Linked DNA regions of Neodiprion lecontei. The protein of the gene in region 1 purifies or fractionates together with the protein of each later gene. This does not show direct contact. Links are inferred from orthologs where the notes say so. Each region holds a gene or a part of one and is shown on either strand. Other genes may lie near its edges.

Region 1 (12,507 bases):
AGAACCCTATTCAACATTATAAAATTTTCAATAATATACCTCTGCCAACTATACTCTGCAACTTTAAAGGATTTCCTTATTTCATTTTCTAAAGCTCAGAACACACGTTTTCAAAACTCATCTTAGAATAGGTCCCGAAACTTTAGAGTCTCGTACGAAGACTATAACTCATTTGACGAATGCGTTATGATGAGCCTTGTCATTGTTGAACATCTATATCAATCATTGTAACATTGTGTATGGATCATCTGTCAATGGATGTGCAGTCAAGTTGGCTGTTTCAGCTCTCCTTGAACCGACAAAGTAAGAAAGAACAACTGGTAATCTAAATTAATGACTGGTACTTCAGCCAACTTTAGAAACTTTGATTACCGGTGTTTTTTGGCAATTCATAATACTTAATACTTTACTCTTTAAACTTTTTACTTATATAAAATTATAAATAAAAAACAAAAAACATTTGTACGAAGTTTATAGTTTAGAACAAAATGTAGCATATAAAATAATAAACAATTATAAAATCATTGTACTCTGATAAGACTAAAAAAATAATTACAATGATTCATAATTTTTGTATGGCCTCGTATGAGATTTGTTTTTTATGAGAATAATTGAAACGCGAAATTGAAATAAGTAACAGCTTTATGATGTCAAAAAATTAACAGGAATTGATAATTTTTACAACTAAGAAGAAAAGAAAAAATATTTTTTGTCAAAATTCAAGGTGACTACCTTTATTTTACGAGATATTGATTTTTCTTCCATTTTACAAAGGACGAGTTAACATTATATGTATGGTATATGGCACTTTGTTTCTAACAACAACGTAAATATCTTTTTATTTATCTTCGGTAAAACGGTACTCTGGTAAATAAATATGCTGTTTAACAAAAGTTAATATACATATATATATAATACACATATACATATATGTATGTAATATGTATACGTGTACACTGGATTACATTTAAATTCTAGTAAGAAAATTAATCACTATAATTGATGAACAGTCTGTAAAATGAAATAAGTTATTCACTTAATTATAAACAAAATAATTAGTAGTACCAATATCGCAGTCAAGACGCCAATGGCTACCCATTGTCTCCGATCTAAAACAAACGGAAAGTAACATCACATGCGCCACTTATAAAATTACATTTTTTATTTTGTTGATTTTGTGAGAGACAATATGTAACAATTTGAAACACAAATAAGTCTTACCCTAGTTTAAACTTTAATACCAACAATCAGAAGAAGACCTTAACATTGAAGTTTATTATTATTTTTGTAATATCAAATCTTTCAAATTGTTTAAATATTCAACAACATTTTGGGGACTCATGTGTTTTTAAACTTAAAAGGTGTAATCAAAACTTATCAAAAAATTAAACCACTGCCAAGCAGTACAGTATATATATACCATAATGGTTAGAGTTAGCGTGTAGATTTTCTTCTTACATTCCTTTGAACATTCATTATTTGCAAGCATCTCTAAATTCCATATTATAGAAGTTGTTTTTGGCAGAAATCTAACTATTCAAAAATGGTAACTGATAAAATCTAAAACTGATATGCGTTTGAAAATGAGCCTAGTTAACAATGTTGATTTTGTCAGGATTATATTTCAGAACAGCATCGTCTTCATTTCTTTAAATTAGCTGCAAACGTGTTCAATTTATATTTTGCAACTTTTAAGGAAGTTTTAATTTACTAGAATATGTAGTCTGGGGTACAATACAACTCAGTGTGGTATGTAATCATTTGGTGTTCGATTAAGATGAATTACTTTTCAGTTTGTCACAATGACCACTGATTACAGTTTTCTAAAATCTCTCAACAAATACGAATATTTGGATTGAATGTCTAATTTCTTTCAAAAACATCATTTACAATAGTTAACATCCGCTTCCCAGAGACTATCAACGTTTTATCTGTTCACCTAGGTATACAAGTACATTTTCCGAAGTCGCAACAACAGAATGATCAGCTGAGATTCTACGGTTCTATAAATTCTGAATCAACGCTTCGATCAGTTCTACAACAGTTTCATAACATATGTATTATAATCATAGTAGTTGTCAACAACATGATTTTAATACCTCACGTAACACTATGCTATATGTATACAAATTTTTGTAACTTCAGGTCTTGTTAGACTAGGTATAGGAATGACATTATTTCATTATGCAAATTTGATGCCATTTGCTGATTCCTCTACGTATAATTTTACTCTTACTAAATGAAAACTCATGTGTACATCCCGTTCAATATTTCTCTGACCTTTAACAGTGGTAACTATGTACATACCACATGTCTAATAGGTAATTATATTGACACAACTTTTGGGATGATAGTATTTAAAATACCTACCGTCATAGTTTTGACTAGCTGAAACTCTTGAAAAGTTACATTATAATTTTTCTTTACCATTTCTTGTTCAAATAGATGGTACATTATTGTCTAAAGCACATATTAGGTAAAGGACTTTTTTTTACACACATGTGGAATAGTTTTGCTGCAACAGGACACTTTTTGTTGGATGCATGGTGACTGATTTTGACAGTACTCGCCATGGAAACTAGATTTGAATTTATAACTTACCCAGTGTTATACATTCCCACATCAAGAGATAGGAGATATAAATCTGAGTTACTTTCTTGAAAGGTGGCTAAGAACGAAATTCCGGATACTGTCGAAATTGGTAGCCCATGTGCACCAAAGTGTTTCGTTTGAGTAAGACTATGCCATGTAAATGGAATACATGCATTCATTTCAATGTATTCAATCATATATTCACCCCCAAGAATCGTGTTATTTTATAGACGAGGAAAATACCATTTAATCAGGCTAATCTGCTGTAAACTGTAAACTCTTAGTGTCATGTCATTAATCCATTCAGCCCTCAATTGATTTAGGTTATCGGATTTTGCTAAATTGCACGTATTTTTCTCTCTGACCTTGCGATGCACTAAACAAAAATTAAAATTGTGCAAAGTGATACTGCACAGACCGAACTGGTTAATGTATATTAATTGTGTAAACATAAGCTGCTGTTATTACAATATAATTTGATTTTCAAACTTTGTTAAAAAATGTTTCGTTTAAATTGAAATTTTTTGTTAAATCAAGCCAACATCAACTTGAGAATTAGGAATTACACGGATTGGTAGCTTATGTTTACATGACTAGAACACTATTACCAATGTCCTATTCCGCGGAACACAAGAAACAGTTTGTTAAGGTACTAGATAAAGAGGATAAAGAGGAAGGCTTAGAAATAAGGTCGGATGCTGTAGACGATGAGGTGGTGGGAGCAGGAATGTAATTGTTATAGTTACCATTGCTCATGTGAAGGACCTTTGCCATTTTCTTCATTGTCGCATCCAATTTTGAGTCTGTTACTTCCAGCTCATTTCCAAAGTCATCTAGCATTCTGGAAGTATTTAAAAAATTAAATATTTCATTAAGGAAACTTTGCTACTTGTGAACTGTCATACTAGCATCAAATATCAACTTCTTATTGAATTTGTTTTTTTTTAAATACAGTGTCAGACCTACACAGCTTGTTCGTCTAACTCTGTATTTATCTGACGAGAGACGGTTTTCAGGGTACCAATACTTTCTCCAATCATATCTAGTTGCTCGTCTTGTTGATGCATCATTGTGCTTTGCTGCTGTAGCGTGTCCGCAAGGAACTGCCGGTTAGGACTGTCCATTTCATTTTCCAGCTTACTGTACTTTGTTGTTCCATGAGTGACGGGAACTCTAGCTGGACTGTTGTCCAGCAGGGGCTGTAAAAATCAGGTATAAACAACTTTTCTTCCTAGTTTTATGGATTCATTCATTGCACAATCTTAACAAATCAACGAATAATTTCTTTTTGCATTCAATACTTTGTTTTCAGTTAAGAATACTGACCTGTCTCGCGGTATGATCACGGTCTCGTCCTCTGCTTACATTCATTTTTTCTTTCATAATCTAAAAAAATGAACGAGGCTCTCAATTGTGCATTGGAAGTATGGAAGGATGAGTCATGTAATGTTGGTAATGGAAATTTTAGAAAAACGTTAGTCCTTAACTGCACAACCTCACCTTAACCATCTCACGAGTCTGTTCTATGAAGTTTCTTCGGATGGTTAATTCCTTATTATCGATTTTAAATTTGTTTGGATTCTTTTCTACGATACGTATGTGTGAAGTTAAGGCTTACATATTTGCTAAGCTTTGAACGGTATAAACATGTTGTCAACGTGCAGAATATTGTGAAGGAAATAGTACCAGTAAAGACAAACGTTTATTCTCAACTTAGCCTATTCCCGACTTCCCTGTAAGGTTATCACAAGAGCAAAAATATTGTAAAATATTTCCAATAATTAATTTATGGTTCAACTTACTTGATTTTCAATATCAATACAATTTTCGGCGCGTTATTGTCGATTACGCAAAAATTATGACAGACAAGTTTTTTTTTTTTTTGTGCTGAATTGCACTTTACAGGCATGACGGTGAACGCTAATAAACATCTAATAAAGCTTCATCTGACGTTTAAGAATTTTCGTCGACAATAAACCGTGAAAATTAATATACATAAAGTTGTTGCTTATTTTTTTTTTATTATTGACACACAATTTCACGAGGTTAAAGCATAGAATAGTAAAAGGATATAGATCGTATCCTCTAAATCTTCTAAATCCCACTCGATGGACCTGAGAGCGTTCCGCAATTCCGTGGTCGTCCACTCAAGTTCTTCACGCGAAACCGGAAGTCCTCCGACTACAGTTGGAGTTGTTGTTGCATTCGACCCATCTTGTAACTCTGTCCAACGCCCGTATAATGCTCGTGTTTTATTTAGAGCCTTGCACACCTCGCTAAACGACAACTTTTTGTTTTACATCCTTACAAAATTTAACTACATAAAAATTATTTAAATTGTTCAACCAGATCGTAGCCATGTAACTTTCTGATTCTTCCATAAATTTGCTTCATTTGAAATTATTTATTTACATCGGTTACAACCCGTGTATCTATTAAGGAAACCAATTAAAATATTTTACTGTGTTTCGGTTCGAATTCGAATACGAAACATTGTTGACATTTATTCAATATATTTACAAAATTTTTCACAGTTGATACTCTTGATCTATTTCTCGTTTCAAATATTGTGAACATATGAATTTTCGATTAATATGTTTAATAATTAAGTGCAGGGTATAAGTTGTGGGATTGTAAATGACGATAATAGTAAGAATAATACGAATCTAAATTGTTGCAAATCCACAGAGTATACACTATACGACCTTATTCAATATTAACGAAGACAATTGATAATGATTATTCGTTTTTTGTCAAGAAGCAGCGCAGCTATTTTTTAACAACATTAGCGAAATATAATGCTAAGATACATTTTGAACACGAAGAAACGACAAAAATAATTTTTGTAATTTTACATATCGGTTTACGAAAATTTAAAACGTGTGCTGCAATTTATTCCGAGATATTTAAATAGATTCTCACACATGAAACGCGTGTATTGACAAACATAGTAAATGATGAATGACAATTTTGCCTGTTGTTTAGAAAAAAGTAAACCAGGTGATTTGACAGTATATCAGATGCAACAGCGTATTTGAGCTGAAGTGTGAATAAAAGAAGTATAGAAAACAAAGAAAATATTGATAACGTCAGCCCCATTTTGTGAACTTACTCCTTGACGACAAAGAAGGGGTCTTCCAGCGTCATTCCTTCCCCGAAATTAAAAGGGTGGCCCTTCTCGCCTCCCCGTGGCACCCGCAAAAATTTTTAAGCGTAATTTCTCAATCATCGGTAGTAAATAACAGACTGTAATCCGCACTGTTATATCAAACCGACAACAATAATCAAATTGACACTTGCTCGCACCCCACTCTACTCATCTGTCGTGTATTATGACGTCTGCCACTGCAGACGACTATTTATTCGATTTTGACGTTTACCCCTTACAAAGATCTTCTAGATGGCAGTGTACGATCGATGCTCGACCCAGCTCAAGCCACAAGCCGCGAGTTTCGATTGGCCGAAACGCGAGTTCTCAAATATACCGCGTGTTTGTAAGCTCTACAAATCGACGTAGCTAAGGGTGCGTTCTGAAATCAGCTGCCAGCTCTAAAAACTCCCCGATGCGTTAAACGGACAATTGGATAGACAGCTTAGACTTTCATGCATCAGATATAAAAGTTATTTTGACATGTTTCCGTAGAAATTACTTCATTTTTACTTGTATTTCACTACATCTCATTCACTTATTCCAAGGCACTTATTGCTCCGCATTAAGTACAAGCATTCTACTTTTAAAAGGCGCGCTTTTCACCGCTTAGCGGTATATTGGATGCTCTTGCCAAATGTGATACTTGGTTATCAACTGCGTTGCCATCTAGTGCTAAATCCGGCCAAGTTCAAATGAATTAACCAATGACAGCCTTGATACAAGAGATTGCTCCAATCCAATTCTGGTTATACTGGGTTATACCAGTTTACATACGTATTTAGCTCCAGATGGAAAACTGGTCATTGTAGGCCATCACCGTTGTCCGCTGATTGTATTTATCTCTGGGTTAAAGTCCATTCGAGTTTCAAAACTTTTGAACTGTTGTAGCTGGACTCTCACCTCAATCGTTTCTCCAACGTCGATCGACTCGTTTATGTTCAGGATGTCTTTGAGCCAGGTATAATTTCCCCGTCGAACGTTGTGTGCTTTCACTAATATTCAAGACTGTACGCACGGTTTAAAATATTAGTAGGGATAATTGCATCGTCATCAGATATTCCAAACTATTTTCCTTCATTTGTTCGTCTAATTGCAGGTGATTAGTAGGTCAGTGAGACAAGCAGCAGTCAGGTCTTTTTCTTCTCAAGCTGCAGTACCAAATGGCTACAATTTCCGTTAGTATTAAATTTTGACATTAATTACATTATATTTTAACAGTTTAGTATCATGAGTAATCCAATGGGAAAAATGTCAAGCTGCATATGCTTTACTTTCTACGAAGAAAATAAAACTGTTCTGATTACTTAAACTCTGAGTACAGAATTAGTGCCGAAGCAATGTTGTTATATTTTTTGTTCAGAGCTTTCTGAGACGCAGCGAGAAATGCAGGAACTTGCCAGGAAGTTCACAAGAGAAGAAATAATTCCTGTAGCTGCGGAGCACGATAGAACTGGAAAATTCCCATGGGAAATTGTCAAGAAAGCCTGGGGTCTGGGACTCATGAACGGACACATTCCACAGCATTGCGGTATGTTCAAAATATCCTTGGCTAAGAATTTTCTTCCGATGATATGATATTTCGTGTATTTGAAGCTGGGGGCATCCAAATGAATGACAATTGAAGCAACATATACCACACAAGTTTTTTCAACCAATTTCTCTACAAATTTGATAACAAATCTATCGATTCGTATCGATTCTGACAAATACTGTTTGTACACAGTTCAAAGTTTTTCCAATATATCTGGCATAGTATAATCCCATTATTATTTCCATTCAGATAAACGTTCAGCGTTTCAACCATTTAATATATTGAATCTTGAACCTTTTGAACAACTGCTAATTCCAAATTGAAATAATTAGGATGGTAAGTTTGTTTTGAACTTTAACCCATAGTGATGTGCGATTATTTTATATCTCTGATAATCAAACGTGCCCCAATCTGTTTTGCAGTAATATTTATCTAATCAGAATAGTGGTACATGATCGCTCTGCAAGATATCTGTTAATCAATGATTTGTCATGCTAAAACAATAATATTTGAACAATAACAAGGTCAAGATATTTGAACCATATGTTTGATAATGTATCAGAAGATTAAGTATATTTTGATGTTGGTTTACCATGGATGGTTGAAAATTTTATTTTAAATGTGAGAATTCACACACTTGTTCAAGATCAGATACAAGTTTTTTTGTATGTGGTATAACGAAAGTTAAATTTCTTTTCGAATTCTAAAACTTGTGTTCGTTTAAATATCTGCATTCCTTTTTTTTTTTTTGCAAAATATTCATCCAGACTACAATTAAACGGCATTTCTCAACATCAATTCCTGTGCTGTATCCTAACATATGCCAAAATACCGCAATGAATCGTTTTTACAACTATACGAAATTGTCCATTATATAATAATAATTGCTGATAGTTTACCACAGTCAAATAAAACAGAAGATCAAAAGAAGTATCTACTTCATACTCAATTTTTAATTGGGAATGAGGAATCAACATGGAATCGTACAATTATACAACCAATTTGCTCTCTCTCAAAGCCAAATTAATACGGTCACTTTCAATTACAATTGAATCTTCAGGAGGAATGGGAATAGGTATTTTTGAGACGTGTCTGGTTGGTGAGGAATTCACATACGGATGTTCCGGTATAGCTGGTGGTCTTGGATCCACAGACTTAGGAGTAAGTTCCTGCCGGAGATGAAAAAGAATTCTTAAAAATTTGATCCAAGCTTATGGAGCAGTCAGCTCGTTTCATCCAGGCTCGTTAGTTCATCCTCTTTCAGCTTTTTGTGGATTTCCGATTGTTACCAAATTATATAAGTTGACATAGTTATTTTCTACAAAGTGTTAATTAATACTCACGACAGTTCTGCAGGCTTTCCGTGACGTTCAGTCCATCACATTATCATGGCGACTATACTTTTATGTCCTCAGTCATTTTATTATTACGCACTATTACTGAATGAATCTTATGTTTCAATGTTATGAATTCTTATGTTAACAAAACAAACAGAATACTATCGATAGGAAATTATGAGCATAGTACTTGTTGCTCATTGCATAGCAATAGATGGAACAATGTTGTAACATTGTATACAGTACTAATTTGACATTCAGGTGGTATTGGAATGAATACGTTTGATTCTTGTATGATTGGAGAGGAACTTGCATACGGATGCTCTGGTATTGCTAGTGGCATTGGATCCACAAAATTAGGAGTAAGTGGCATTTGTGAATGTAACATTCCATCGCAATTCATTGTTCTTGAGCTGATATATGGATTCATGCCGAAGGGAGTTGGACGTCATTCATCGTATCATTAATATCAGTGTTGATTTCTTGGTGGGTTATCTTACTTAGTAATTACGTATTGTTCTACTTTACATTTGGAGGCTTGTATGGGAGCATCGAAGCGATATCAAATATTTTATGAATTACTTATTGACATGTGGGTCCAATAGATATATTAGGGAAAAAACATTACCCAATAACGAGAAGTTTCGAGATTGAAACGAAAATCGTGCGATATGCCAAAATAGCCATGACATGTGATACATTAAATGGCTTTTGGTACATTCCAGGAGGATTAGAATGTGGTATTTTTGACGGTTGCATGGTGGCGGAAGAGCTTGCCTATGGCTGTACAGGGATAAAGACTGCAATGGAGGGATCAGGTCTCGGCGTAAGTTCATTCTGCTCGCGATCGAAAACTAATTTTTTTGTCTGTTGACTAACTTATGAATTAATTCTAAACATTAACATCCTTTCACCACGATCAACAATACTCTCATACTGGTTTCCACAGTAAATTACAGTGCAGTCTTGAATGAGCAAATTTATATTTTTTAAACTTTATTGCCAAAATTTCACTCTATAGTATTTTCATCTTCTAATTTTAATAGTTTTTGCATATGAGGATCCGAAGTAGGGAAAGAAAATAAATGCTCTCTGTCTCTTCTGTTTTGTGTAAGAAATTGCTGCAGCTTAATTGAGAATGTCTATGCACCATCTATTATGTCCTTAAATCTGGTAATGAGGTTCATCTGTATATCAGTTTACTGAAGCACAACCTTTGCTTAGTCACATTAAAATTATTGCGCTTGTTGTTGCTGTTTTAAAGTACATTCCGTATTTCCTAAATATGTGTTAAAATTGATTTCATAGCAAATGCCTGTGATTATTGCTGGAACTAAAGAACAACAAAAGAAATACTTGGGAAGACTCATTGACGAACCACTTCTAGCGGTAAGTTACCCTTCTATTCAAGAACCAGAGTGTGTCATTCTTCTATGCATAGTATATACTAATTTACTAGTGTTTTAATACTCAACATAAGAAACTCATTAATGAAAAATGTTTTCATCTCTTAATTCGGTTGTTTTTTCAATCACATCACAATTTGAATACCAAGGTTCGTGCTACACATTTCATACAGAGTGGATCAAAGGTACTGAGACTTGTGAATAACCTTTGAACGCGTGTAGATATCGCGAGAAATTTGCTGGAAATCTGTGTGATTGAAGAATTTACTTTTTGTAAGGGTCGGCAATTGCCATATTCCACGAGTTCCAAGATATAACTTGAACTCTTCAGGCTATGATAGTAAGTGAATAAATTGATAATGATTCGTTCATGGCAGGCCTACTGTGTAACCGAACCTGGGGCTGGATCTGACGTAAGCGCCATTAAAACTCGAGCAGAGAAAAAAGGAAATGAATGGGTTATCAATGGCACTAAAATGTGGATAACAAATGGCGGTGTTGCCAATTGGTAATATTGAGGGTAGAAATTTACTCCTTAAATTTAACTACGTGTATTTACAATCTAGCAAGTACAATTTTAAGCACTTTGAAATTCAGTTCAGCCTAAAATAATTGAATGAATAGATTAATAGAATGAATTGTGACAAAAGGAATGGTGGTAAGAGAGTTGATATTCCTGAAAATCCATGACTTTGTTTATAACGGCATTTTTGATTTAATGTGAAGTTTATTACTAATAATACAAAATTAAAAGAACTCTAATCCTATTCAATTTTTCCATTTTCATAGGTACTTTGTTCTGGCTCGCACTAATCCAGACCCTAAAGCACCGACTAGTAAGGCATTTACTGGTTTCATCGTCGAGCGGGATACACCGGGTCTAACTCCTGGACGTAAAGTAAGTTTAATGATCGGATGACTTACTTGTTACCCCACGGTTAGAAAAGTAACTTTCAGGGATAAAACTTTCAGGAAATGAATATGGGGCAAAGAGCATCTGATACCCGCATGATCACATTTGAAGATGTACGTGTCCCACAGGAGAATGTCTTGCTCGGTGAGGGTCAAGGTTTCAAGATTGCAATGGGAGCTTTTGACAAAACTCGTCCTCCGGTAACTGTTTATTTTTTTTCCTTCAATAGAATTCTGTCGTGGAATTTCATATTCTTTGAAAACTATTTCATCGTTGCAAGGTTGCGTCTGGTGCAGTTGGACTGGCGCAAAGAGCACTGGACGAAGCTACCAAGTATGCTCTGGAACGAAAAACTTTCGGCAAACCCATTGCCGAACATCAGGCAGTAGCTTTCCTGTTGGCTGATATGGCGATTGGAATCGAAACAGCTCGGCTAGCTTGGATGAAAGCTGCTTGGGCTGTCGATAACGGCCAAAGGAACACCTTTCTAGCCAGTATTGCTAAATGTTATGCCGCAGACGTGGCTAATAAGTGCGCCACAGATGCAGTACAGGTTTGTCACAAGTCCAGAATTGCAATTGTATATTCGATAAGCATTGCGTAAAAAGTTTTTATTCATATCCATAAGTACAAAATGGCAAGTTGAACGTAGAATTCAGTTTTTTACGTTTGATTTGAAACTACTTAGTGTTTAATCACCAATAGGTATAATCACCAAGTATCAACGTGTGATTCTTTACAGATATTTGGCGGCTGTGGTTTCAACACTGAATACCCTGTAGAGAAACTAATGAGAGACGCTAAGATTTATCAAATATACGAAGGTACAGCTCAAATTCAAAGAATGATTATATCACGTGCTTTATTGTCAGAGGCTCAACAAGGTGGTAAATGATCAAATCATATCAATCACATGTACAAATCATAATAATATCTCATTGCACCAAGAATGCTGAGATAATTCTCAATGCATCATTGTTTCCACCAATACAATTGTACATACAAAATTTCTTACAGAATTCATAATGCTAATGAAATAGCGTGTGTCTTAAATATGGGCGTTTAGTGAAATAAGGCTCACAAAAAATATATATTTTTTATTCTCTTTACTTGACTGAAGTTTACTTCTGAAGCGTAAATTATTCTCTACCTGTTTCCTAATCCATTTCAAATTGTAAATATATTCTCTCCTTATCTTTATCACTTTTCATTCATCCGTGTCGTAGACTGTATAATATACAATATTTAGGAGACATTAGATTTGACAACTTTAGCATCATCTATACGTATTTGTAAAATAATTTGCTTATTCCCGTAAAATTCTTCGTGATCCTGGAATTTGCATTTTGTATTTTATAGTCCATTTCTCCAAGGTTTCGCGGGGTGAATGATGAGTCATATCTCTAATGTTCATATGGGATTACAGTGGAGAGTTGTTTTCGAAAAATACCTCGAAATTTATTCCGGACATTTTATTTTTTGCTTCATATGAAATTATTAATGTGAACGCAGTTGAAAATGTTCATAGAATTCATTGAATACCCTGGAACGCCAGCAACGGTTACGTTTTAAACATA
Region 2 (10,716 bases), on another chromosome or scaffold:
TTACCCACTCTCCCGTAGAGTTTGAATTGGCGAAATACCTTCGATATGTCGCGACGAACGAGGTATCGAGTTTCGTGAATCGAAACTTACGTACAAGACAAATTCAGACCGGTTCCAACATGGTACAGAAAAAGCTGTGTTTACATCGTTTACATAAAGGCGACGTTGCGACGAGTCCCTGCCGGGGGTTCCGTTGATTATTCAACTCGAAATTGTGGAGCGGAGTCGCGCGATGTTTTGAATCTTCATCAGCCGCCAAAGGTAGACGATGACAAAAGGCACGTTGTTCGGTAAGGAAAATCATTCTAGGACATAACCCATCCGACGCATCGCGGGTGCCGATGCAATGGGTCAATCGACGCTACTGGATGCGACTTTTCCGCAACCGTAACCATGGGCCTGAATTGTAACACTCTCCACTTCGCCTCCGCGCTGATAACGCGACTCTTTTTCACTCCGTCGCTCTTTGAGCGCACGTAGCGCAGTTTCGCGTGGTCGTCCAGCCGTCTTGCCACGAGGTCACATCGCGCTTTTCGCTTGACGGTTCTCTCGTCGTGGAACTAGTTGTCTTGGCACACGCACCGGATCAGGTATGTTTCCGGTCTTCTCTGTCACCGTAATCGATACTTGCGTACATCATTCCCGGAGCGGAATCTCAACAATGTGTACATTTTCTATGTTCTCAACTCCTTTTGAATCTATCTTTCGAAACGTGTTTTGACACGTCAAATGACAAAAAGTTTGTCAAAGTACAATGTCTTCACAATTTGTCGTCAATTAACATGAATTTACTTAATCCAGTTTTCTCTTACGGTTTTTCAATTGTTTCTTTGTTATATTTCTAATCGCAGTTATTTATTGAAGAGAGTATATAGCGCTGGTTGTGTATTTAAGATCCGCTGCCTACCTCAAGTCTTCCTTTATAATAATAGTTATGTAACGTTGTACTTGAAATACCTGCAGCACTGAGTTCTTGTTATCTTTATCGTTTCATATTCATTACATTTTCCAGTCACGTATTGGTTATATCGAGCATGTTTTTTGCAGTGTCAGGCTATTCTGCATAATTGTATATCTATATTGAAGTTTCTAATAATATTTGGTATTATGGGATATTGAAAGAGGGTATTTTTGAAGTACTGTGTTGTCTGAGATAATTTGTTTAATTTCCCAATTAGGCAAATAATTAGTATTTTGAATTACATTCATTCGTAAGTCAGAAACTATGAAACATTATCTTTTTTTACAGTTTAACGTTGTTAAAAGTGACAAAATGGTCTCTCACATAAAGTTTGTTAACATCTCAACTTATAGTGCAGATAAGATAGGGAAAAATGTGATTCAATTTTCTGTTTGTAAGACGAATATTCAATGTTCCATTGATACTTCAGTCATATCTGCTAAACTGTCAGATATAAGAAAATAATCTAAAATTCAATAAGTAAGTTTTCTTTCACTTTTGTGTGCGATAATATATTACAATATAATTTCATCCATGTACAAGACGGTATTTCAAAATGTAACCCGTAGTTTTAAGGTTTAATTTATTATATACTAGTACTAACACTTTACTAGCACAATTAGAGGGGTAAAATTAGGAAGTAAGAATCAACACGAAGAAACGGAAGATATGTCGAGGAAAGGGCAGACTATACTGGTGACGGGTGGTGCTGGGTACATTGGCGCATTCACGGTTTTGGAACTACTTAATGCCGACTTCGAGGTGGTGGTTATTGACAATCTTACTAATGCTTACCAAGGTAAGATGGGAATTAATCAATATCTGAAAGTTATTTCCAAGCATTATGGAAAGAATACTCTCAACGCATCCTCCTCAAAGTAGCCTTATCGTTTTATCATGAGTTTAATTTCTCAATTATCGCTTCACTCAGCTGACAAATTTTATCATCCAGTTCCTATCGATAACATATGATACAATCTACCCTATTTATCTTTGGCTTTGCAAGTGCCTGAACTTGTATATAGCCTTACGCAATATGTTTGAGCAGCTGAAGAGTTTGTAGATGGCTCATTTAGCACACCGCTATATTAATATATTTTTTTACTTCATTCTGCAGCTTCGGATAAAAAGAAACCAGAATGTCTTCTGAGGGTGGAGGAACTGACACAGAAGCACGTAGCATTTCATTCTGTAGACATAACAAACAGAAAGGAATTGACTAGCATATTTCAACAGGTGAGTATCGAGTTATTCGCCATATTATTTACCACGATGTTTATAACAAACTATGAAGTTATTTTATTTTCTAGTATAAATTTGACAATGTGATACACTTTGCCGCTTTAAAGGCCGTTGGCGAGTCTGTTGCCAAGCCGCTTGAGTATTATAGAGTCAATGTTAGCGGTACTATAGTATTACTCGAGGTAATGCGAGAACACGGAGTCTATCGAATGATTTATTCAAGCAGCGCCACTGTTTATGGTCTTCCTGATAAACTACCATTAACCGAAGACATGAAAACTGGGGATTGCACCAATCCGTATGGAAAGTCTAAGTTTATGGTGGAGGAAATACTGAAGGACCTATGCGTTTCGGACAAGGTATACTTTTATGCTTGGTAGAAGAAATATTCGAGAATCTTTTAGTAATCACTTCATATTCACCTGGAAAAATATTCTAGAACTAGTCATTGAACACACACTGACTTCATCTAGGTTTGGTCCATCACATCCCTCAGATATTTTAACCCTGTGGGAGCTCATCCATCTGGAAATATTGGAGAGGATCCAAACGGCATACCGAACAACTTGATGCCCTACATCGCCCAAGTCGCTGTTGGAAAAAGAGAAAAGCTCTCAGTCTATGGAAGTGATTACAATACCCCTGACGGAACTGGTAATAATGAAGTCCGAGCCAGATAATGTCGTTCGATTTTTTCTACTTTTCTTCAACGGGGAATTTCTTCTTGTTCTCTTCTGTTGTGTGAAAAATTCTATAGTCACTTGAATATTACCAGGCTTTATCTTTCTACAAGTGTGAAATCTGCAAAATTTTTCATTTACAGGGGTTCGCGATTACATTCATGTAATTGATCTGGCAGTTGGCCACTTGCAGGCGATTTCCCACCAGCATCCCTCCGGCTTCCAGGTTTATAATCTCGGTACTGGAAGAGGGTATTCTGTTCTGGAAGTAATCAGAGCGTTCAAAGATGCTTCTGGCAAAGACATACCCTATGATATTGTAGATCGTAGACCAGGCGACATTGCGACAAGTTATGCCGATGCAAGCCGTGCTAATGCAGAACTGGACTGGCACGCAACACGGAATATTGATGACATGTGTAAGTTAGACTAGACTTTTCTAAATTAAAACACTTTATTGAGTGTCTTTTGATAAAAAATATCATTGATTACAGGCAAGGACACATGGAGATGGCAGCAGAAAAACCCGGATGGATATAAGAACGTGTCGTCCCCATTTTGCCCAGACGCCTGTTCTATAAAATCTAAATGAACAAATTAAATCTATAGATTAATAATTCCACCTAGACGGTGAACCTGCCACATCAGGTGAAATCGAAAATTGGATTGGATAATTTTACATCAGTTACATATATCTATGTGCCAGTGAACTGGAATGGATTTAGAATTTATTTATAATTAATAGGGTATAGAAAAGTGTATAAGTTGGGGATATCGTACTAAAATATAGCTTAAAATTACCAAAGACAAGACAGTGAGCTTAATAGTTTATCTAATTACGATTAAATCGATACGCACATTGTAATGTGTAATTTTAGAAGATGATAAATCAAAACTCAAACCCAGCTGACTTTACCGATAAAATTTTGAGCACCTCAGTAATGATACTGTGTACTTGTAAATTGGGAGGATTGAGGAGAAAAGATTCGATATTCAGAGTAGAACGATGACGTTTTTTTTTCTCGATATTGGTAAATTGTATCCTATACCTTCAACTTGAACAGAATTAACTCTGATGTACCATAAAGCTTGAACATTGTTTCATGACCTAAGTGACTAAGTTTGCTGTACGAGATTGCCTTGTATTGTAGGTGCAATATCGAATTCTACCAATTTCTGGGTTCTAGATAGTTTTTTAAATTATTATTATTATTATTATTACTATTATTGTTCTTGTTGTTAATAGTTGTAAAATATCTGTTGAAATATATCATAAATTAGTCATTTTAAGAAGGCAACAATGAAAGATACACATGTGTTCAAGAACATTAGTTCATATCAAACAATTCCCAGTTCTGTGTGTATTTTATTTCTAAAGACATCAATTAAATTTGTGAATTATAAGTTTATAATGTGCCATTATTGTTAAATAGTTGCAAAACCTAGCAAGATATCGTGTACACTGAGAAGTTCGAATAAATCATTTGAGAAAATTCATCTGCTTCAGTCTCCCATGTTTCAAAATTTGCGATGGCTTTAGATCATGGAAACGTATTCAGACTACGGATGCAGTGAAAGGAAGGTATAAACAGTATTTTCAAAAGTTATACAACTTACTCATGCTGCATTGTGACAATCAGCCCAGCCTCAACATCTGTGTCTCACAATATTTTTGTAACACGCGATGACGAACAAAATTTTCTACCTCTTGCTGTTCAATCCGTACGAGTGCATAATTGTGACACTCTCATTTGACCAGCGTATACTATGAATTAGTGAATATTTACACTCACAATTACTTTTCTAGTCGTGAAGAATTGCCATACGAGTTACTTAGATCAGTATATTCTTGATATCTCACTGTGACGTATGTTTTTTCCATTGTTATCGAAATAAATCTAAACTTACTGTTAGACATGAATAATAAATGAACCGTTTGTGACCCGCTTCTCGCTATTACCTCTAGTCAAAGTTTCGAACATGTAAATCGAAAGCGGAAGCATTGGGTAATCGTTGTATAGAATGAAGCATACTGGGCAGGCCTTCGATGATATGTCATGTCCGTTCGGAGGGTAAGGTGGGCAAAGTGTGAGTCGGTAAGTCTACTAATTTACGAGCACGGTTACGAGCATGCCGCCTGGGATTTGGTCGAAAGGTTCTCTATTCTTTTTCAACACATGAAATGGAAGAAGACAAGATATTTACGTGGTTATGTCAGTTAAACGTATCGGCATTGCAAAATGCAAAGTGACCAGCTGTGTACAACAATTGGATTTACCACGAATGAAGTATTGCTTGATACATTTTTGCCTCTTTGATTGTGATCACGGTCTTATAGACAGGTCTGGGCACTCCGGCTGTAAAACCGTGCTCGAAAATGACGCCGATGTTGTGAATTTTCGCCGCTAGCGCTAGTGAGGGAGAGGCCTACAGTACGCATACACTGGCCTCGGAGATTGCAGCGCTCCGGTCTTTGGTGCACAAATTGAGAAACACAGGCTTCAAGACGGTCACGCTGCGTTATATGGGAAGGGGCTTGGAGTGCCCAGACCTGTCTATAAGACCGTGATTGTGATCAAATATGCCGACATGGCCGCTACCATTAAAAATGTTACCCTTCATCCAAGTCTTTCACCAGAGGGTCTCTAATGATTTTCACTTATTGTTGCAAGAAACGAAATAATGCAACTAGTATGGATCAGTTCATTTTGAAGTAAATAAATGGGGGCGTTCAATGCTCCGTATGACCAGCTGTTGATGAATTGTTCAGCGCCGTTTGTTATTGTTGTCGCTCCGTCTGTCGTCTGCTGCATGAACGATTTCAGCGGTATGACAGATAAAGATGGACGTTGTATTTGGAATTCCTTGAGTTTTATTCTTTTAACCGTATCTCCACATCCAGTTTAAGGAACGACTGGAGTACTTGCCGTCCGGGACAAGTTTAATAGTATCCTGTGACATACCATCAAACATGCCTCCGAAGTTCAAGCGTAATGTGCCGCGTGACGACGTTGCCAAAGCCGACGACGTGGAGAAGGTGTGTTTGTTTTTTGTATGATTAATCTTAAGCCGTGAGTCATTAGCAACCGTCTAATGTTTACACGGTTCAAGACAGTCAAAAAGCTCAGAATTATTATTAGATGATGTCAGAATCTAATCCTTCTTTTGTTTATTTCCTTAGGAGACCCTCCTTGATCATGACAGCGATCCAGATGAAGAGATGCTTTTCAAGTATGCTTGAACGATCAATTATCCATACCATAGACATATGATCCATATTGTGAACTTACTTTTTTATCGCTGTTCATAATATGAGACTAAATTTCAATTCATCTGAGAAATTTTTTTGTTTATCGTTCCAGCCGCCCGAGTACTTCGACCAGTCAGCCATACAGAGATCGTAAAATGGACAGGTGGTGTTCATTTAATCATGATTTTTCTCTACCTCAGATTTTTCAAATGAACTGTTTTAAAATTACAATAATCGTGGAATAAAATGAGATAGAATTAGTTATCGAAGAGTTAGATTTGTTTCTGGCCTATTGCAAATTGTCATGCTCTCTGATAATCCAGAATAATACCGAAATCCAGATTAGAGTTACTGTTTATAATTGTATTCAATGAATTTTAATAATTTGTTTATTTTAGTGTTCGTATGCAGATAAAGGAAGTAACAGACGTGATGCGTGAAAATGTGCAAAAAGTGATGGAGCGAGGAGAAAAAATGGAAGACTTAGAAGTGGCCAGCGAACGGCTGACTATGGCTGGAAACGAGTTTCACGACTCGGCAAAGAAGGCACACCGCAGGGCTTGGATGCAGAACATGAAGATGAGAATCATTGTCGGCGCCATTATTCTGACAATAGTTATGAGTATTATTGGTGAGTAAACCTTGACTCGCTTTGACTCACCCTTGGTAACACGGCGTCACCAGCTTTTGCTGCAAGCTTCAGCAGGTGTGGCTTATTGAATTTTTTCGTGTAAGCAACTTTTCTGCCAAATGATGTCTAACTTTTCAATCTGAACAGCAAATGTTCCAATTCTAAGTTTTGAAATTTTATACATTCAATAATTTGAGAATTTTTTTAGTCACCATTACTGTCATTCTCTTACATTTTATATTTCACCACTTTTACATATTCATCTTTCCAGGAATCACTGTCACAATATTTTAATAACTGATAAGATGCATTTCATACCTTTATTGATTCTGTACATGGTATAAAAGGAAACCTAAGGCTTCTATGAAAAAGATATCGACAATTATGTTCATACTTTTAGCTGTTTGTCCGTTACTTTCTTGTACGCATTACGTACACGTTTATGAAATTTAATGAAATTTCCATGCATTACCAATATTCCTGGTGAAAAGTTAGTTTATAAAAAAAATCTCTCGGTCAGCACACATCAGTTCCTCAATCTGTTTTCTACATCTCCTTTGACCTCGCATTTGAAACTGTTCTAAAAGAAATATCTCGTTACCACTTCGTTTTAACGATACCCATCAATAATCTATATCTACATACTTTCATTCTGTTTATAACTTCCGCATTTATGTATATTGACCGATGGTTAATTAATTTATGATAATTACAATGCGATTGTAACCGATTCTCAATTGAAAAGCTTGTCACAGGTCTACTTCTGATGACAAAATCTTTCACCGAAGATTTATACGTATATAGGTGTTTGAGTTTTTTTCTTCGTTTCTTTTTTTCATTGATTTAACGAGAACTAGCCTCTAATGCCGCGCTGATGGTTCGGCCTGTATAATTTTCAGTTCTGGACATCTTGGTGCTTTACCTAGTCATCAGATAGTTAATTGGACTGGTGAAACAGCCTGTGTAGGAACCAAGGTATTGAGATCTGAGATATTGAATATTTCTATCGCTTATCGCCAGTGGTGTGAAATTACGTAATTATAATACCTGCACTACTGTATATAGATCACGCTACCAGATCCAATTTCCGCGAGTTAAAAACCTCGACTGCACTTGCAATGCCATGGAGCGTAATCACGCAACGCGGCATTGAAACCATTCGTTCCTGTTTCTGTAGATATTTTGTTGTCCAACATATCAATTATTGCTATAGACGGAAAGCCACTGATCTGATTGAGGTAGAGACTACAACATTTTATGGTCGCCAAAAAATTGTTGAGAAGGTCTAGCGGTCATAAATTATCATTTAAACACGCTGCGTTTTTAGAAGTTTTTAGAAGAATTACGCAAGTAATAATTCTAGGATGGGATTGGCCATTCTACTTGAAATACGATTCATAAGGATATAAATTTCTAACGTAACTACGATCATTTAGAAAAAATAAATTTCGATCATGTTATCAAATTTTGTGATAATGAATGCGAAGCAAATTATACCCTATATGCGCCTTTTTTCTTTACACTGGCAGACTGAATTTCTACCGGATTTATCCGTACACTTCAGTACAAAATATATTTCTAGGTGCGTTGATTGAGCTTTCATTTCATTGAATAAATTTAAAAATTTCAAATTCCAGACACCGCTCCACCGCTTTACGATGAAAAAAAGGATATCATTTTTCGTGTTCCAGGTACTTTGATCAGATGGTATTCCTGACGTCATGCGACTGCCTTCCAATACGTATCATAATTTCAGTTTAAATAATTGTAATATATTTTGTGATAACGAACTTTACTCCGTGAATTAGCATGTAGCCAAAATAAATGTTATTCTTGTAACTATGTATAAATAAACGACGTATCTCTACATACGTATAATTATGTTCGAAATTCCACGAGCTACCAACCTACCTACCTATTTGTCTGATACTTCTTCTACCCAATAGCAACTATATGGGGCTGTTTAATAATTCATTTTGTCCGTTCAAAGTTTAGCCTGTTTCAAAACTCTCTGCGAAGTTTCTTCGTTTTACCTTCAAGCAAATTTCATGGGGGCTAAAGTAAAGATATGTTTGCGAATAGAATTTAAAATTGCACCGCGAAAAATGATGCACTCTGACAGTGAAATTTGCAAAACACTTTGTCTTCAACGATTTCCTCCAAATGAGTTTCTGTAATTATGAATTTTGATTGGCGATTTGCTTGTTTTATTTAAAACGAGGAATCTGTTAAAAATCGCTGAATACGATAATTCACGACACTTGACTATAAATCTGTCTTTCATATAAGTTCAAAAGTTGATTAGCAGACAAACGGGCGCATTGGAAAAATCTAACGTGAATTAAAAATTTTCTGTTTAACAAGTCCAGTTTCTTGCTTATTTGGTAGAGTATAATTTCCACTTTGCCTTGATTAGATTATCATAATCGTGCGTACATGTATAATATGTATGAGAACGTTTTTTCCAGGATTAATTTGCATCGTACGCGTACTTGGAATATAATGTTTAAAAATGATTGAAATTCCGAGTGAAAGTAGAACGAGTAGATCCAGGAATATGTCAATTAGCCGAAGGCACATGTATGCTTTGTACCGTTCATTTACATGCATTGGAAGTGTTGGTTCCATTCGTTTCGTCTTCAACTCGCTGGACATGTGACTACCACGCAAATAAGGCCACAGGCCTTTACTGTCACCTAAATTATTTACAATGTTAATAATATATCAATAGCATCAAACCACTGCTAAGCCTCGATTTCGTACCTATATGAAATTGACGGATCTACGAACGCTGGTTACGAACTTAATCACTGATTCCTAAGTGCTTAAGACGTTTGGGTGAATTACTTCTGATAATTATAAGAGGCTTTGACAATCCCTCAATTATTCAACGGTATAATTCTACGCAAGAAGTGAGTAGGTCGTTCTCTGACCTAAAAACTGATTGAATATACGCAAGATTGTCAATTCATGACCAGCATATTATTTGTCCGTAAGATCGTAACTTTGTAACTTTTAAACGATTATTCCAGAATGTGGCGCCAAACTGGTGACAAAGTTACAGACCATTTTACCGCCGCGTTCGAGTGTCTTAATGGGTTATCCCTTTTTTTCGTATCGTCGAATTTATTGTCCAACACTGCATAGTGATTATCGCTGAATCACAATACTGTTAGAGAAATCGCGAGGCATATACAGTGCGTCATTACAACCGTTGCGGCCACTATGTGTGTTTATTTTGACGCAGTTTTATTGCAGGAATTCAAATTATACACAAGTATTTCATCAAATACTTTTTTCATCGATTGTCAGAAACTCCCTTTGTAAAAATACTTTGTCTAGACGGTCATGGGCTACGTTCACATGTATCCTCATCGTCTGTACTTCTTTTCCACTCGCCATGATTTCACTCAATTTATTTCTGTCTACGTTCAATGGTGCTAGTAGAGTTAGCAATCTGAACGCCTCTCTAGTTTGAAAAAAGCAAATGAATGCAATGATGCAACGGAGAATCAAATGAGCTTATGGGCGTGTCGCATTTCAGTGAGGGAAATTCATGTCAATGGAAACCGCACTTAATAATATTGAGCTATTAGACGACTGATTACTGGAAAAATTTGCGACAACCTGATTACAATATTTCGGAAAATAAAGTTATTTTTCCAATTTGCTACGATAGCCGATATATATATATATATCGCTATATATATATATATATATATATATATATATACATATAACGTAAAAGGTATAGTTGAGGTATTTTTGTCGTATCATCAAGATTCAAATTTAAAATACGTGATAGTGATTCAGCCTGAAAAGACCTGAGAATTACGCGATTTGTCTAAATATAATATAGAATAAACAGATAACGAAACGAGGATAACTATATACACACCGAGGAAAAGAAACGAAGAACGCTTAGGTATTAGGCAGAAGAATTTGTAATTAA

The links.
Region 2: the proteins of syntaxin-6 (region 1) and vesicle-associated membrane protein 4 purify together in Homo sapiens (co-immunoprecipitation; 5 studies listed by BioGRID and IntAct, counting the BioPlex papers as one, with this or other methods). This does not show direct contact. The link is inferred for Neodiprion lecontei from reciprocal best matches to the Homo sapiens genes STX6 and VAMP4.

The regions. Positions count from the first base shown.
Region 1 is NC_060261.1:7,228,886-7,241,392, reverse strand, and holds syntaxin-6, read right to left. Parts: upstream 5,988-12,507; 5' UTR 5,740-5,987; coding exon 5,705-5,739; intron 4,869-5,704; coding exon 4,666-4,868; intron 4,188-4,665; coding exon 4,093-4,187; intron 3,979-4,092; coding exon 3,919-3,978; intron 3,792-3,918; coding exon 3,559-3,791; intron 3,434-3,558; coding exon 3,339-3,433; coding exon of another isoform or gene 3,208-3,338; exon of another isoform or gene 2,969-3,207; coding exon 2,817-2,968; 3' UTR 1,110-2,816; coding exon of another isoform or gene 1,033-1,109; 3' UTR 719-1,032; downstream 1-718. Other genes in the region: probable medium-chain specific acyl-CoA dehydrogenase, mitochondrial, read left to right, coding at 6,678-6,701, 6,840-6,918, 7,104-7,271, 9,337-9,437, 9,920-10,000, 10,395-10,525, 10,807-10,915, 10,990-11,130 and 2 more. UniProt on the Homo sapiens protein: SNARE promoting movement of transport vesicles to target membranes. Targets endosomes to the trans-Golgi network, and may therefore function in retrograde trafficking.
Region 2 is NC_060262.1:41,730,627-41,741,342, reverse strand, and holds vesicle-associated membrane protein 4, read left to right. Parts: upstream 1-4,959; 5' UTR 4,960-4,979; intron 4,980-5,785; 5' UTR 5,786-5,854; coding exon 5,855-5,920; intron 5,921-6,064; coding exon 6,065-6,114; intron 6,115-6,245; coding exon 6,246-6,296; intron 6,297-6,531; coding exon 6,532-6,764; intron 6,765-8,401; coding exon 8,402-8,481; 3' UTR 8,482-8,654; downstream 8,655-10,716. Other genes in the region: UDP-glucose 4-epimerase, read left to right, coding at 1,631-1,760, 2,079-2,197, 2,272-2,562, 2,677-2,857, 3,027-3,302, 3,378-3,475. UniProt on the Homo sapiens protein: Involved in the pathway that functions to remove an inhibitor (probably synaptotagmin-4) of calcium-triggered exocytosis during the maturation of secretory granules.